2 linked regions of the Notamacropus eugenii genome follow. The protein of the gene in region 1 interacts with the protein of each later gene in a biochemical or structural test. Links are inferred from orthologs where the notes say so. Each region holds a gene or a part of one and is shown on either strand. Other genes may lie near its edges.

Evidence for each region. The genes of interacting proteins can lie anywhere in the genome.
Region 2: the proteins of LOXL1 (region 1) and FBLN5 form a complex in vitro, tested with the Homo sapiens proteins (2 studies listed by BioGRID and IntAct). The link is inferred for Notamacropus eugenii from reciprocal best matches to the Homo sapiens genes LOXL1 and FBLN5.

The regions. Positions count from the first base shown.
Region 1 is NC_092872.1:242,600,348-242,608,431, forward strand, and holds the start of LOXL1 (lysyl oxidase homolog 1), read right to left. Parts: upstream 3,276-8,084; 5' UTR 2,720-3,275; coding exon 1,477-2,719; intron 1-1,476. UniProt on the Homo sapiens protein: Catalyzes the oxidative deamination of lysine and hydroxylysine residues in collagen and elastin, resulting in the formation of covalent cross-linkages, and the stabilization of collagen and elastin fibers.
Region 2 is NC_092878.1:38,570,652-38,578,911, forward strand, and holds the start of FBLN5 (fibulin-5), read left to right. Parts: upstream 1-4,692; 5' UTR 4,693-4,912; coding exon of another isoform or gene 4,913-4,929; intron 4,930-5,212; 5' UTR 5,213-5,479; coding exon 5,480-5,535; intron 5,536-7,642; coding exon 7,643-7,697; intron 7,698-8,260. UniProt on the Homo sapiens protein: Essential for elastic fiber formation, is involved in the assembly of continuous elastin (ELN) polymer and promotes the interaction of microfibrils and ELN. Stabilizes and organizes elastic fibers in the skin, lung and vasculature.

The DNA.
Region 1 (8,084 bases):
GTCTTCCTAGGGTACAAACAGAACTTGTATCTCTTCTTGGAATCCCCAAATCTCTTCCAGACTCTAATCAGGAACCACTTCTTACATGAGCCCCTTTCTGATCTACCTTTTGTTAGTGCTTGCCACTGCCAACATCATACTATCTGCATTTTGTATTTTCTTATCTGTGTATGTGTTAAATCCACTTAGCCCCCAACATATAACGTCAGCTCCTTGAGAGCAACTGATATATATTTTTTTGTATTTGTACCCCCAATGTCTAGTATAGCACCTTGTACAAGGAGTCATTAGCACTAGAAGGGATTGTACCACTCCTTCTTACAGATGAGGAAACTGAGCTTCAGGGAACTACGATAGGAGTCTAATAAATGCTTGCTGCAATAGTTATGTTTCCTGAAAGGTGAGGTCATATTTTTTTTAAAAGCTTCCCCCATCTCTCTATGTGTGTGTGGAGGGGAGGGGTGACAAGATGGCCTTGTATCTTTCCTTGCCTGTACTATCAAGCTTTATTCTGGGTGGGGGGATAGAGGTGAGCCCTTATAATATTTTCATAGCTATAGAGGTAGAAGGGACCTCAGAAGCCATCTGGTCCAACCCCCTCATTTTGCAGATAAAGGATAAGGACATTAAATGACAAATCCCAGGTCACACACCAGTAAGCTTCAGACACAGACTTAGAACCCAGGTCCTCTGATTCCAGAAGCAACGTTCATTTCCTTCCCCTCTCCTTTCCATGGGCTTACATTTGAGCAAAGAAGAGGTCAAGTAGAGGAGCAAAGAGACATAAGGATACCATGGATTAAAAATTACCAGAAGGGAGGGATTTTGGGGGGGAGGGGAGAGATGTACCAAAGTGGAGAGTGGAATCTGAGAAGAATCAAGCAGAACAGAGTGAGAATTAGTGATTATGTGAGACTTTTCCTGATCCCCCTAGCTTCTGTCTTCTTCCTCAAAATTAATCTCTCTCTCTCCTTATATATATGTATATATATACATATATATAACATATATACACTATATATTTAAAGAATACATGCAAATATATGCTTGTGTGTGTTGCATATCTACTTATTGTTTCCCAGGTGGAATGAAAGGTTCTTGAGGGTAGGAATTGTTTTAGGTTTGTCTCCCCAGCTTTTAACAGTGTCTGGCACACAATGCTTCATAAATGCTTGTTGATTGGTTAGGATTGGCAGATAATAGCTTTCATTTAGATAGCACTTTATATGGGCTTTATCTAGTTTGATACTTAAGAAGTAGATAAGGCAAGTGATATCCCCATTTTACAGATGAAGAAACTGAGGTGTATTGACTTGCCCAAGTATCTCTGTCTACTAAATAGTAACAACCACAATTTGGACCCAGCTGTTCTGCCTTCAGCACAGGTGTTCTTGGCAATATTATACACATCATTAAAAGGAACTCCCAGCCCATTCCTTTAAAGTGTGGTCCCTCCAGGAGGTGCTCAGTACTCACCTCGTCCATTCTGGTTGGGCCTATACACACTGCCCACGCTGACCCGGCCTTGTTGGGTGCCCTGTCTGTCCCCACCTAATGGGGGAGCTTCCGAGCTCCTGATGGGCATATAGGATTCTGGCCTCGGGGCACTCCCATAGGGTTCCAGGACCCGGAATGGTGGCTGAGGCTCCACTACTCTCGGTGGGATGTAAGTTTCCGGGGGGACATTGGCATAGGGTGATTGCCAGCCCAGGCGGGGATCAGTCACATAGCCTGGTCCCAAGCCTGGGGAGGAGCCCCCGTTAACCTGCGGGCTGTCAGGAGCAGCTGCCACTTGGCCTGGCACCACCTGGCCAGGGACTGAGTTGTAAGTGTCTTGGTAAGCTTGATCAAAGTTCGTGGTCCCCTCATGATACAGACTGTGGGAATACCTCCTGTCCAGCCCGTCAGAAGGCTGAGGTTGGGGCTGGGGCACTGGCATGAGGGGCATCTCCTGGGCTGGATAGAAGCCCTGAGGCTGATACGGGGTCTGCTCCTCCCCGTACTCTTCATACCTCAGCCGAGGCTGGAAGGGGTAGATGACTCCAGCCGAGGCCACTGCAGCTGCCCCGGCTCCCTGCCCGCCTGTGGGGCTCCGGTAATACACGTAGCTCTCTTCATAGGCCCTAGGTACTTGCTCGTACGTTTCGTACTGACTGACAAAAGGGGGCTGGGGGTAGGGGAACTGCGCGGGATAAGATGGCTGCCGGTAGGTGGTCTGGGCGAAGGCGGAGGCTGAGGCTGAGCCCAAGGCTGATGAGACGGAGGAGGAGGCGGAGCTCGCCTGGCGTTGCCGGGAGACGGAGGTGCGGGCTCTGGCCATCCCGGTGCTGTCCCCGACGGCCACCTCCCGCCAGTTTTCTGGCACCTGGCCGAAGCCGAAAGGGTGCCGGGCCTGGCCTCGGATGGTGTCCGAGCCAGCCCTTACGGGCAGTGAGGGGGCCTGCCTGCGGATGGGGCGTCCCGGGCTCCTTCGGCCGGTCGTCTGTTGGGCTCCGGCCAGAAGTACCTGGGCGCTGCCGTCGTGGACCACTGTGCCAGGAGGCAGGTACTCGGAGCCCGAGTTCAGGAGGCTATACACCCGTCCGTTGTTCTCCCACTGGATCATCTGCCTCCAGGGGCTGGCGTCGGAACTCTGCTGCTGAGGAGGCTGCTGTCCGCGGGTCAGGAGGAAGACCCCGCAGCCTAGGAGCGCCCAGAGCTCCCAGGAGACGCGGGCCATGATCTCTGCGCCGTCTCGTCTCCTGCCTCCGGGGGGACTGGACTAGCAGCGTGGGTCACACACAGCAGAGACGCCGCTTCTCCCGAGTCCCCCACCTCCCGATGAGTCTGTCCCTCCCTTCCCCAAAGCGTTGTGGGCAGCTCTTTTCCTCCCTGAGGTTCTAGCGCTGTCCATCCCCGGCCAGTCCCGAGCGGGAGGGTTGCCTGGACAGCAGCATGGTGAGGCCAGGCGAGGCTAGGCGAGGAGCGGAGAAGCAGCGGCGGGTGGCCCGAAGCGAGGCTGGCCAAGCCCAGGGGCTCCGTCTGGGGCAGGGCAGGGTACGGTGTGGAGCAGGGCTGGAGTTGGAGTCACTCCCTGCAGGTCTGGCCCCAAGGACAGGACCACCACCGGGAGGGGCTTTACATGGCTCCCGTGCGGGATGGGGGTGGGGGGGGACTGGCCGACTCCCTCCTCCGTCCTTTCCTTTCTCCCGCCCTCCCTTACTCCCTCTCTCTTTGGGTCTGGGGCCAGCCGGGCTGGCTCTTTCCCACTCTGAATGAATAAGCAACAAGCTGTGAAAAGTTTGGAAGTTTCAGAGCAGCCTGCTCGGTTTCGGGGCTCCACCGCTGGGCCCTATTGCCCGTCGGGTTTTAGCTATGCGGCCAGCCCCCGAGGCGCCTGGCCCTTGCTCTCAGCTCTGCAAGCCAAGCTGGGGGGCTGCCTTGCTCTTTGATGAAGAAAGGAAGCAGTCCCAGTGAAAACTGAGGACAATGGAGGGAACCTGGGAATGAGAGGAAAGGAGCGAATCTCTTGTTCAGAGCAGTCCCTGACAAGCGGATTCTCTGGGGCCAGATGGGCTGCCTTGGCCCCTGGCTTGTTTTCCGTCCTGAGAGGCATCATTTTCACCCACTCTTCTGTCGCTAGAGGGGACCTTACCCTGTTCCCTGTAGTTAAAAGAACCTTGGCTTTAAAAGACAGAACCTATCCCAGGATCAGGCTTGGAAAGGACCTTTGGGGTCATGTAGTCCAAGTTCTTCTTTGCAGGGAGGAGGAAAATGAGTCCGAGAGAGGGGGTTTTGCTCGCTGAGGGTTGCACACAAGTAACAAACGGAAGGGTTGAATGAAAAAGCAATTATGAAGCATTCACTATGTCCCAAGCACTGGGTTTCGTTGAGATTTGAGCTTAGGTCTCCTGACTCCAATTCGCTAGCTGTGTTTTTTTTTAGGACTTTGCATGTCGGAGCTGTGGGATCTTGAGTAGTGTGGTATGTTGAAAAGATCACCAAGTTTCAGGTAAGAGGACCTGGACTGGAAGACCTGTTTTGTTTCTTACTAGCTGTGTGACTTTGGGAAAGTCGTCTCCCTTTCTGTATGGAGTTTCCTTCTTTGTAAAATGAAGGGATTGGACTGGATGGATGATCTTAGGCTTCCTTACAATTCTGCATACTATAACCCCTAAGATCATGAGGTGCTCTTCATCATTTAGGCTAGGTCCTAGCATCCCTGATTCCTGACTCTCATTTCCCACCATTTCTGTCCCCACCCAATGATTTCAGCAACAAACAAGCAATCATCTATTCCAAGCTGGAGGGGACGTAAGAGGTCACCTAGCCCAGCCCCTCATTTTGCAAAAAGAAAACCTCAGCTCAGAAAAGTTTAGTGCTCACACAGCTGGAAAATGTCAGAAGTGGAATATGATCTCACCTTTTCTGGACTTGAAGCCAAACATTCTATTCCTTGATGCTCTAGGCAGTACCTCCAGTATCTTTTCTTTGTTCCTTCCTTCCCTTTCCGTCTCTTCTCTGCTCCCTCACTCTCTCCTTTTTGCCTTCCTTCTTTCTTTCTTTCAAAGATGATATAATCCAAAACTTTCCTTTTACAGAGAAAGAAACTGAGGCTCAGACAATTTTCAAGGTCCAAGCTCACTCATTAAATGCATAGCAGAACTGGGAGTCCACATCTCCTGATTATCACTGCCTCCTCTTTGCTGTGATGACCTTTGCCCCGGATACCCAGAGATCTGGTCTATAGAAGCACATCAGCAGTGGAGTGGCCTGGTACCTTTCCTAGAGAAGAGCACTGGGTGGATTTCTTTTTTATGTCTGCCCCAGGGGGCTGAAGGGAGATCTGTACCTTGCCCAGAATATGTTCCCTTTTAGATCCAGAAATAATCTCCAGATCTCATCTTGGTCATTTCACTTCCAGTCTTTCATTCTGGGCAGTGGGAGGGTGAAAGGAAAAGTGTGGTATTCTAGGTGGTGGGAAAGGGGCAGGGTTCAGTCCAGGAGCATGTTCATTATTGGACCAGGAGTCAGGAGACTGAAGTGCTAGACAGGATCCTGACCCTAATTTGCCATGTGGTCATGAATAAGTCTCTCTCTCTGTTTCTCTCTCTCTTCCCATCTCTGTCTCTCTCTTTTCTTCTCTGTCTCTGCCTCTGTTTCATTTCGCTCTTCTTCAAAGTTAGAACATTGGATTAGGGTCTCTAAGGTCCCCTCCAGCCCAGATAATCTGGGATTCTGTGAATTTTCTCTCCACTCTATCCTCTAGATGAGGAATTAGTGTAAAGCATAGGAAACAGCTAGCACAGTGGATGAACCACTAGCCTCAAATCAGAAGACCTGAGTTCAAATCCAGTCTTAGACACTTACTAGTTGTGTGACCTTGGGCAAGTCACTTAACACTGTTTGCCTCAGTTTTCTCATCTGTAAAATGAACTGGAGAAGGAAATGGCTTTGCCAAGAAAATCCCAAAGTGAGATCACAGAGGATTGGACAGGACTGAACAACAATAGGGAAATAGAAGGAGGAGGAAGGGAAATTAACTAGACACCTGGATTTTTCAGGATCTGGATTGTTATCCCCTTAAGAATCAAAAATTTAGACTCTAAAAGAGAGGCAGAATGGCCTACTGGATAGAATGATGGACATGGAGTCAAGAAAACCTGGGTTCAAATTTCACCTTTGATACTTATTAGCCGTCTAACCACAGGGCAAGTCACCCAATCTCTCTGAGCCTCAGACAATTCTCTAAGACTAAATACTGGAAAGAAAGGATGGTAAAGAACACTGTTCAGTAGTCAGATATCCTGGATTCAGACTTTGCTGCTTGTCATTTATTTTCTATATGACCTTAGACAAGTTACTCTCTGGACTTCAGATCTTCATCTGTAAAAAGAGGGGGGTGGACTTTGGGACCTTTGAAGTCCTTTCCAGCTCTAAGCATATGATCCTCTGAAATTATAAAGAGGTTGCCACCTGCCTTGTCAGAGGGACAAAACCCTTTTGTCATGAATTTCTGTAAGGTCTCAGGAAGACTCTTGACATGACCTAGGTAACTTCTGAAATTGTCTAAACCTGGATTCCACAAAATATGGGATGCTCTTCAGGCAACAACTTTGAGGTACAAAAGTACATTGTGGACCTGAAATGTGTCCTGGAAACCTTGAAGCAGGGTCAGTCCTGAAAACTGGAGGAAGAAGGCTTCCTTAGGGCTCTTGTCCAGCCGACTGTTTTCCTAAACTACCTGGCTCTGACACCAGGGGTGAATTTGATCTCTGGTTCAGTCAAGGGAACCAGAGATGCCAGCCCATTAGGCCAAGTTTCCAGGGGGTGGTAGGCCCCTGTCACTCCTTCCTCTGCCTCGGAGATGAGTCCAAAGTTCAGGCTGTCCCTAGGATGCCTAGAACCATGCCCCACTCTCCTTGAGGAAGAGAAATGAGGTCAGTTCTTCATGCCAGCCCTAGAGCTCAAACTCACTCCAGGAGAGTGCTTGATTTTCCTGCCCAGGGTCCAGGAGGGACACAGCTAGAGATCCTCAGCTCCCTTCCTCACCTTCCATCCCCTTCCACCCTCCCAGGGCTAAGTTAAGGGTAGTACAGTCAATATTAAGGGAGATTCTTTTAATGCTAGCTCCTTGGCTTCGTGTCTGATACCCAGACTTCTCTGATGGCTCATCAGCTGCTACCATAGTCATTGAGACATTGCCTTAAGGCAGTCAGAGTGGGCAGGCCTTGGGATAATCCAAGATCCAAGAGTTATTTTTACAATCCCATGGTTCCAGCCCACTGTTCTCATTGGGTTTCATTCTCACTTTGGACATACATAGCGTGAAATGTCTGCATGGATGTTTTATTTTTTCTTTCCTTGAGTTTCTAATTGGAAGAGGGGAGATGGAAAGAGATGACAAACTATTCTCATTCCATTGGCCATTAGCGAACTTCTTTTGGTGCCAAAGAACAAAAGAAGATGGCCACATCCTCTCTGTCTCTGTCTCTGTCTCTGTCTCTGTCTCTGTCTCTGTCTCTGTCTCTGTCTCTGTCTCTCTCTCTCTCTCTCTCTCTCTCTCTCTCTCCTCTTTCCCTCTCCCTCTCCCTCTCTCTTCTCTCTCCTCTCTCCTTTCTCTCTCTGTCTCTCTCTGTCTCTGTCTCTGTCTCTCTCTCTCTCTTTCCTCCCCACACCCCATCACCCCATTCCTCCTCCTCACATGAGACTTCTGAACAGGGGGAAGAGAGGATTTATAGCCTAGGGCACAGAGGAATTGAGGATTGACTATTTGAAGATTACTGAGGTTTATTTATTTCTTTAGTTGGGATTGTGAGTTAAACTTTTATTTTTCCTTTGAGGACCTGACATTGCTAAACACAACACCTCCAGGGCAGAACCTTAAATGCCTTACAAGGAGGAGTCTGTTTTGGTTCTTTAGAGCCATATTGTTTATACACTGGAGGGGGAAAAGAGGAGAAGGAGGAAGAGGAGGGACTGAGAGGAAGGACTGGAAACAGGAAATGAAGGGAAAGAAGAAAATAAAAGAGGTCCCTATCTGTATCTGTTTCAGGGAAGGGGAGAGTGGATGTTGGTGGTGACTAGATGTCTCGAGAGTGATTACTCAGTGATACACTTGTCAGTGTGGGGATCTTGGACCTGAGAGCAGTGGAAGACAAAATCCCCCTTTGGGCATTAAGGCAGATGGAAACCCAGGACTTGGGGATCTGTGATGGGAAATGGCCACAGAGGGGCGCTGGCCGGCATCCTACATCTGGCTGAAGAGTCAGTACAGTATTTAATATGAAATAACCACAGTGCTGTCCTCCTTCCCTCCTGAAGGGATTTTAAATTTTTTAAAAGAAGTCTGCATAAATGTGAATCATAAAAGTTGAGTTTTTTACATTCTACACCTGGAGATAGATATAGTGTTGGACCTGGAGTCAGAAGTGCCAAGTTCAGATCTAGCCTCAGACTATTTTTATGACCCTGAGCAAGTCACTTAATCTTTGCCTGCCCCAGTTTCCTCATCTTTAAGATGAGGATAATCATGGCACCTAACCTCTAGGGTTATTTTGAGGATCAAATGTGATAATATATGTAAGGCGCTTTGAAAACCTTAA
Region 2 (8,260 bases), on another chromosome or scaffold:
GAAGGCAAAAACTGAAAAGAAACTCTTTACAGATCATAACGAAAATGGCAATTAGTACAGGCAGCACAAACAATATACAGACACAAATGGAAACTTAATGAAATCCTAAATAATTATTGAGTCAAAAAATTGCTGAAATAATTTTTTTGAAAGAAAATAATGGTAAAATAACATGAAAATTTCTGGGATGCAACTAAAACAATCCTCAGGAGAAAATTTATCTCTAAAAACATACATTAACAAAATGAAAAACAAACTAAATACACATATTAAAAAATTAGCCAATAAATAACTCTCCCCCCAAAAAAATTAAAATAAGAAATATGGAAAAGTAGTGGAGAACTAAACTGGAAATAGAAAAAGACATTAGAAATGATAAGACTAAAACCTAGTTCTTAAAAGCTAACAAAATTAGTAAGCTTTAGCAGACCTGTTATAAAAAAGGGCAGAAAATCAAATCAACAAAATAGCAAATGAATAAGGTGATACCACAACAAAACTAGAGGAAATAAAAAGAATTCTTAGAACCTACTATGAACAGTTATATGCTACCAAAACTGAAAACACAAAAGAAATAGAGGAATACTTTTAGAAATATAAAATACCTAAGTAACCAACTAGAGATCTTCTATAATCCAATCTGAGAAAAGAGAAATAAAATGAGTAATAAAGGGCCTACCAAAGGAGAATAGTCCTAGTAGATTCACAGGATAATTCAAACTTCTAAAGAACAACTAGTTTTAATATCATAAATTAACTTAATTAATTTAATACCATACAAAGTATTCTCAAAAATTGAGAAATTGTTTTATCAGACTCTTTTTGGGATGAATATGGCCTTGATTCCTAAATGAGGGAAAGATAAAGCAAATAAGAACCATGAACTGATGTCACTACTGAATATTAATTAAAGACATTTCAAGTCCTGTCAAACAAAACATACATCACCATAATCATACAAAGTATAAAAACATCCAAAACCACACGATTATCTCAAGTAACAGAGATTATTGTAATTATAATTACAGTCACATAATTATAATTAATTATCTCAATACTTTGCCTTTGACAAAGTACAATATTCATTTCATGCTACAAATCCTATGAAATATAGGCATAGTGGGATTTTTTGTTAATATCAGGAAATGTATGTGAAATCTAAAAAGATCGGATCCACTAGAAACTTCTACAAGAAATACAGGAATAAAGCAAGCATGCTCAGTTTTTCTGCTGTTATTTGACATAGTTCTGGAAATGACAGCAACAGCAATAAATCAAGAGAAAGAAGTTAAAGGAGAAAAGATAGGCAAAAAAAGAGTTATAAAATGATTCCAATTTGCTAACGACACTATGGTTTATTTAGAAAATTCTAGGTGAACAGCAAAGATTTCAATTGAAACAATAGTTTCAAAGTTTCTAGCTGCAAAAATAACAGTATTTCTATATAACAACCCAAAAATAACATTTCTATATTATAACATCAAAATGAAAGGTAAATACCGTTCAAAATAACTACAAAAGCACAAAATACCTGGAGCTCAATCTATCAAAGTATACAAAATACCTGTTTGTACTCAATTGCAAAATATCCGTTATGGAAATAAAGAAGAACCTAAATATTTGGAAAACTATTCAATGATCATGGTTGGACTGTGCCAATATAATAAAAATGACAGTTAAAAGTTATAATTTTCAGAGAGAAAAAAAGAAACTTGATTACTTTATTATATATTTAAAAGAAATAACAGGTTATACATAAAAGATTTGTATTTTCAAGTGATTTTTTTATTCTGCTAAATTATGGAAATGCTTATCTTAGGTTTACAAATTAAAAATAAATCAAATTTTAAGAAAATTATAGTTTTAATACTATACCAATCAAACTATCAAAAGGATATTTTACAGAGCTTGATAAAATTATCTCAGTTCATTTGGAGAAACAAAATATCTAGACTATAAAGGAAAATAATGAGGAAAAAAGGTAGGGATGAATAGGGGAGTGCAAACTCTATTATAGCCTGTCAGTTATCAAAACCAGTTGGTAATGGTTTAAAAAAAATAAGGAAGTAGATCAGTGGATGGACTAGGCAAGGAAAGATGAAAAGAAATAGAACTCAATGACCCGATGTTCAATGAACTAGAAAACATAAATTAGAAAAGAACTTATTAGATAAAAACTTTTGGGAAAACTAGAAAGTTGTCTGGCAGAAAATAGAATTAGACCAACACCATTCCATCACATTCCACAATGCATTTTAAATGGATAGATTACCTTAAGATTAAAAAACCATACATAAAAAATGAGAAGTAGATCATATATGTTTTCCACAGGTAGAAGATGTATTTTTAAACCAACAGTTGATAGAAATAACTATACAAGATAAATATATGAAACTTAAAAGCTTCCACGCGAACAAGATGAATGCATGTAGAATAAGCAGTTGAACTGGGGGGGGGGGCAGAGGGATCTCTATCAAATTTGTCTGATAAAGATATACAGACTACCAACACACATGCACATATATTGTGGTACATAAGTATAAAGAAATTTTACTGTGCTGTAAGAAATGATGACTAATGAATACTGGAAAGCATGGAAAGACTTACATGATTAAACAAGTAGCAAAATATACTGTCCAAAATAACAATATACACAATAACTGCAATGACATAAATGGAAATAACAGCCACAGAACTATCAAAAACAGATGTTTAAAAATTACAAAGGTCAAGCTCAGTTCCAAAGAAGTAACATGTGAAGACACCCCCATTGCCCTCTCTCCCTGGGACAGCATGCAATCTGATGATTTCTAGACATATATTCTTATTAAGCACATTTTCACATTAGTCATTTTGCATAAAGTTATTAAAATGAATGGGGGAAATCATGAGAAAAAACAAACTAAAACAAAACATAACACAGGAGAAAATGTTCTGCTTCATTCTGCATTCCAATTCCATAGTTCTTTCTCTGGATGTGGATGGCATTTTGCCTGAAGAGTCCATTGGGAAGTTTTTAGGTCCTTCCATTGCTGTGAAGGGCTAAGTCTACCAGAAAAATTCCTCACACACTGTGGTTGGTACTATGTACAATGATCTCCTGGTTCTGCCCCTTTCACTCAGCATCAGTTGATGTAAGTCCTTCCAGGCCTCTCTGAAGTCTTCCTGTTCGTCATTTGTTATAGCGCAGTAGTATTCATTTCATTCATATACCACAACTTGTTCAGTCATTCCCCAATTGATGGGCATCCCCTCAATTTCTATGCTTTCCTAACCTTTGCATACTCTCCGTGACACTGACCTCCTTGCTCTTCCTCAAACAAGACCTTCCATCTTTTGATTCCAGTTATTTTCACTGACTTTGTCCAATGCCTGGAATACTCTCCCTCTTCATTTCTGCCTTCTGGTGAGCTTGTCTTTAAGTCCCAGTTGAACTCCCACCTTTCCTGGTCTCCCATAATTCTAGTGCCTTCTCTCTGATGATTCTTTCCAATGCATCCTGCATATATCTTGTTCCTACATAGTTGTTTGTGTATTGTCTCTCCCATTAGTCTGTGAGCTTCTTGAGATTGGTACTCTTTTTTTTTTTTTTGCCTTTTTTTGTATCTCCAGTGCTTAGCATAGTGCCAGACAGACTGTGCTTTATAACTGTTATTGACCATTGACTGAAATGTAAGGTATTTTGAAAGCAGAATTACCTTACTGAGAGCATCCTCATATCTCATGCCTGCTTCTTTTTCTCACATCCTCCTATTATTTAAGAAAAGCAGGGTAGTATAATGAAGAAAACACTGAATTTGGGAGGCTGAATCCCCCTTTTGCCATTGATTATGTATGTAACCTTGGGGAAGTCACTTTCTCTGGCCTCAGTTTCTTCATCTGTAAAAGAAGGGGTTCAACTGGGCAATCTCTTCCTTCCCACTTTAAATCTACTATGATCCATGACCTTTTTTTAAAGCAAAATCATGAACCAGCTGTAAAGGGATGCTAGAAAGATTAAAGTTAGAAATTTGCTGTTCAAAAGTTGAAGTGAAGGGTTAGAACCCTGTCTTTTTAATTTTACTAGCCATTGGTATATGATCTTCCTTATGGCATTTCTTTTGGCAAATATTCATCCCTTCTATCTTTTTATCTCTAAATCTTCACTTAATCTGTGCTAATTTCTAATAATAAATCAAGCGCAGTGGTCATTTGTAGCTGTATTCTACAAGTTTCTATTCTCCCGAAAAAGGTTAAAAACTTTTCTTCAAATGCCAATGACCTGGAGGGCTAAATCTTCATAACTCCCTCTCATCCCCTGACTATCCGAGGCCTCTGCAAAACTCTGGGATGTTGTAGCTGGGAAGGAAACTAAAGGGTGAACGTACCCCCGTGTTCCCACCTCCCTCCATGCACTTGATAAGTAGTCCTCGCCAAGAAAGATGCTCTCTGCAGAGTGTGTGTGTTTGCTTGCTAGAATCCAGGAGGAGAGGCTTTCCTTCGAGCTCTGAGACTTTCGTCCTGGCAGACGCCCCAAGATTGTTGTGAGGAGTCTAGCCAGTTGGTGAGCTCTCTAATCTGAACCAGCTGTGTCCAGACTGAGGCTCCATTTGCATTGTTTAACATACTTAGAAAATGAAGTGTTCATTTTTAACATTCCTCCTCCAATTGGTTTAATGCTGAATTACTGAGAAGGACTAAGCAAAACCAGGTGCTTTCTCTGTACTCACTCCAGTGCCTCAGGAGGCTCAGACCCTTACTCTGCCCGCTTCACTACTTGCTGTACTGGAATATCATTAAAACAAGAATCAAAGGGCAGAGAGAAGGTTGAAGTTCAAGAAACGCCTTTGAGTAGTAGGCACTGGGATCTTTTTTTTCCCCTTTCTTTCTTTTTCCACCCACCTCCTTTTTTTCTTCTCCACACATCTGGGACATGCCAGGATTAAAGAGGTAGGTTCTTTGTACGGAACTTCTTTCTTCAGGGATTGGAAAGACTTGCTCTATAGCCTGCTGTGTGGAAAATGTCTATGGCTGAGGTTCAATCTGTGTCAGGACACTGGAAAAGAGATTTGCTAGTGATGCAACAAGATTGCTAATTATAAAAATGTGCTGTTCAGTAATTTCCATCTTGAAGATCTTTTCTGGGGGGGGGGGGGAGGGTGGGAGGAAGGGAAGGGGAGGGACAAGGAGTGGTGTTGTATAATAGTTTTAGAAGTCACATTGTCTGTCCCAGGACTGCAGAATTCTACTGCTCCAACGCCAGTGCTTTCATCTAAAAAACACTTTCACAGACCGGCAGCAGCTTTTTTTTACCCAAGCTGATTTACCCAAAAAAAATCACTGATTTGAGAGACCAAGCTTAAGTTTACTAGCAATCTTCACAGAAAAGAATTGCTATTTTGTATGTGTCATCTGCTGGACAAAGCATCGTGCCTGGCTGAACACATTTACACTCTTGTGCCGGATTGTACTGTATGTCTGTGTGTGATTCGCAAAGGGAATGAGACCCAGAAGTATAAAGCCAATGAGAAGTGCGGATTGCAGACAAAAGTACATGTAAGCAAACTTTATGTTGTTCATTAGGGAAAATTAAGAGACAGATAAGTGATTCTTAAAATTAATGACTAAGAGAGTGACAGCTCCGGGATTCTTGTCTAGTAAAAGCCTGTAGATTTCTTTAAATCAATGGATTTCAGTGTGTGTGTGTGTGTGTGTGTGTGTGTGTGTGTGTGTGTGTGTGTGTGTGTGTGTGTGTTGAACTAAAACAAGCCTGGGATCATCTCTTCTGACAGCAAGCAATGCCATTTGATAGGTCCCTCCTCCCCTTTCCTTTTCTTTAGGGGAAAGGCATGGAATGGATGCTTCACCTGCTTTTTTAGAAAGTATCCTGGATTGTGAGAATGAGAATGAGAAGTTGTAATCTAGCCATACATCTGACGACATATATTTTTTTCTCATTCTCTTTTTGATTGCTTTGATTTTGGTTGTCCAGAAGAGCAGAATGTAGATTCAGTGTCACAGAAGTTATTCGTAGGCAAGAAGTTTTGCTAATGGCATTTTGGGGCTCCTTCGTAATTGTAAAAACTTTTTGCTACTGATTGAAACTTTTTTGACTCCCAGAACTTGCCTGTCACTCTGCCAAGGGTGAGAGCCTTTGTCTGGGTGCCTTGATCTGCTCTGAAGTTTGAGGGGAGACTGTAGCTGGTGAATATCTCTAGCCCAAAGGTCGGAAGAATGGGTGTTAAAATAGATTTTGTACCAGCTCTTGAAGGTACTCAGACTACTCAGCCTCCAATATAAATGAAAAGTGGTTTAATAACTAACTGAAAGGAAACTTCATGAGGAAACAGGAAAACATTGAAATTCATAATAAACAGGCTGGAAAATAAATTTGTTGTTGCTCTTTTTAAAAAAAAGATATAAATTTAGTTTTTGTGAATTAAAAAAAGTCCACTACCACCACAACAAAAAAACTCAAAACAAAACAGCTCTGGGATGTAGCTATGAACTTTATAAGGTTAGAACAGTCTCCAATAATATGAAACCTGGCTAATGCTGCCTTATATATTAAATAGCTAAGAAACCATTGGAATTTCAGAGTATTTCTTTATTTGGGGAGAGTGATCTTGCTTAGATGAAGAAACTGGGAATTATGAGTCCTGACTTTGCTGTCTTTGAATAATGGTCAAATTACTTTATTTTTTTTCAACTTACCCAAAGAATAAATAGACAAAGTCATATGGGTCACAGAATAAGTATGTGGAGGTCAGGTCTGCATCTAAAGAGAATTTGTTGATTGAATAATAGTTTTTCAAAAGAAGAAATGAATGAATTATCCAATTTAGACAAACACATCATCAGTCTAGACAGTTCAGTTTTGCCTTTCTTCTGATTGGTTGACTGAGTTATTCACATTCATTGAATATTTGATCAACCTCCCTATTAACTGTGAAGAGTTAAATTTGAGGTCACAGAACATTAAACTTAGGCAGTATTTTCTAATGTCCCCACTACTGGTTGATGGAAGACACTGATAGGTGTATCTAGGCTAGATGAACATTTATATTAAATGACACTGGCATCAACTTCATCTAGCATTTTGCTCTTTGGAACTTCAAACATTTCCCATTGATCATCTCATTTGTTCTGATCTTTTGAGGTAGGTCACAAGGATCATCATCTATACACACATTTATAATAAAAAATTTTCTAAACTCAAGCATTACTGTCTCTGTTTGCATTCAAAGTAAAAACTTGGTAAATGCTTAATTTGCATCTGACAGTCCTCCCTGTTTCTCTAGCCTCTATAGCACAAAATGCTATTTTTGATTATAAAAAAATCTTATTTGAATGAGAGGCCTCATGGTGAGGGGGCTAGATATCCAACTGCAGAGTGAGGAAAATCTGGTTCAAGACTCCACTTTGAAACATACTACCTGTGTAACCCAGGGCAAGTCACTTAATTACTGCTAAGATAATATATTATGGAACATTTATCAATTTGCATTGGTAAAAGAAATTTTCTTCTTTAGGAGTTTTCAACTTCAGTGAAATCATAGATCTGGACCTTCCTCCTCAAAGTATTGTGTTATAACACATTCATCTAGTACTTAGACATTTGTATATATAAAATATTTATGTTTGATTTCTCATCCCTGTTTAGGATACTGACTGTTTCCATTCTGACTCTTTGTCTCACAAGTCCTGGACATGCACAGGTGAGAATGAACCTTGACCTTCTTCCTCCTCTCCCACAAGTTTTTTGAATTATAAAATATTAGAGGTAGGAGACACTTGAGAGATAAAAAAGTCCAAATACTGAATCTGAGGAGCTATAATATGCATCTGTGGAGGGAGTATTCAAATCTGTGTAGAAATATAGATCCTTGAAGTATTGAAATATGGATTCAGCAATTCAATAAGCATTTAAGTTTCCAGGGTATGTAGGGCACTGTACTAGGCACTAAGGAACATACAAAACTTAGGTAAGACATAGTCTTTACTGATATCGAGTGTATATTCTAGTAGGGAGATTGTGACATACAAAAAGTATACACAAAATACAGGTAGATTGAAAAATAAAATACATTGTCTGTAAGAAAGGTAGAAGTAAAATACCATATGAAGTATTCGGGTGGTGGTGGCTAGAGGGGTCATTACAGATTCACAAATGAGGAAAGAATTCCTGGAAGAGTTCACGTGAGTTAGGTAGATAGTAATTGAAGTGGATGGGAAGGGAATTCTAGGCATAGAGAATACTTCAAGGACTCTGATGTCATAA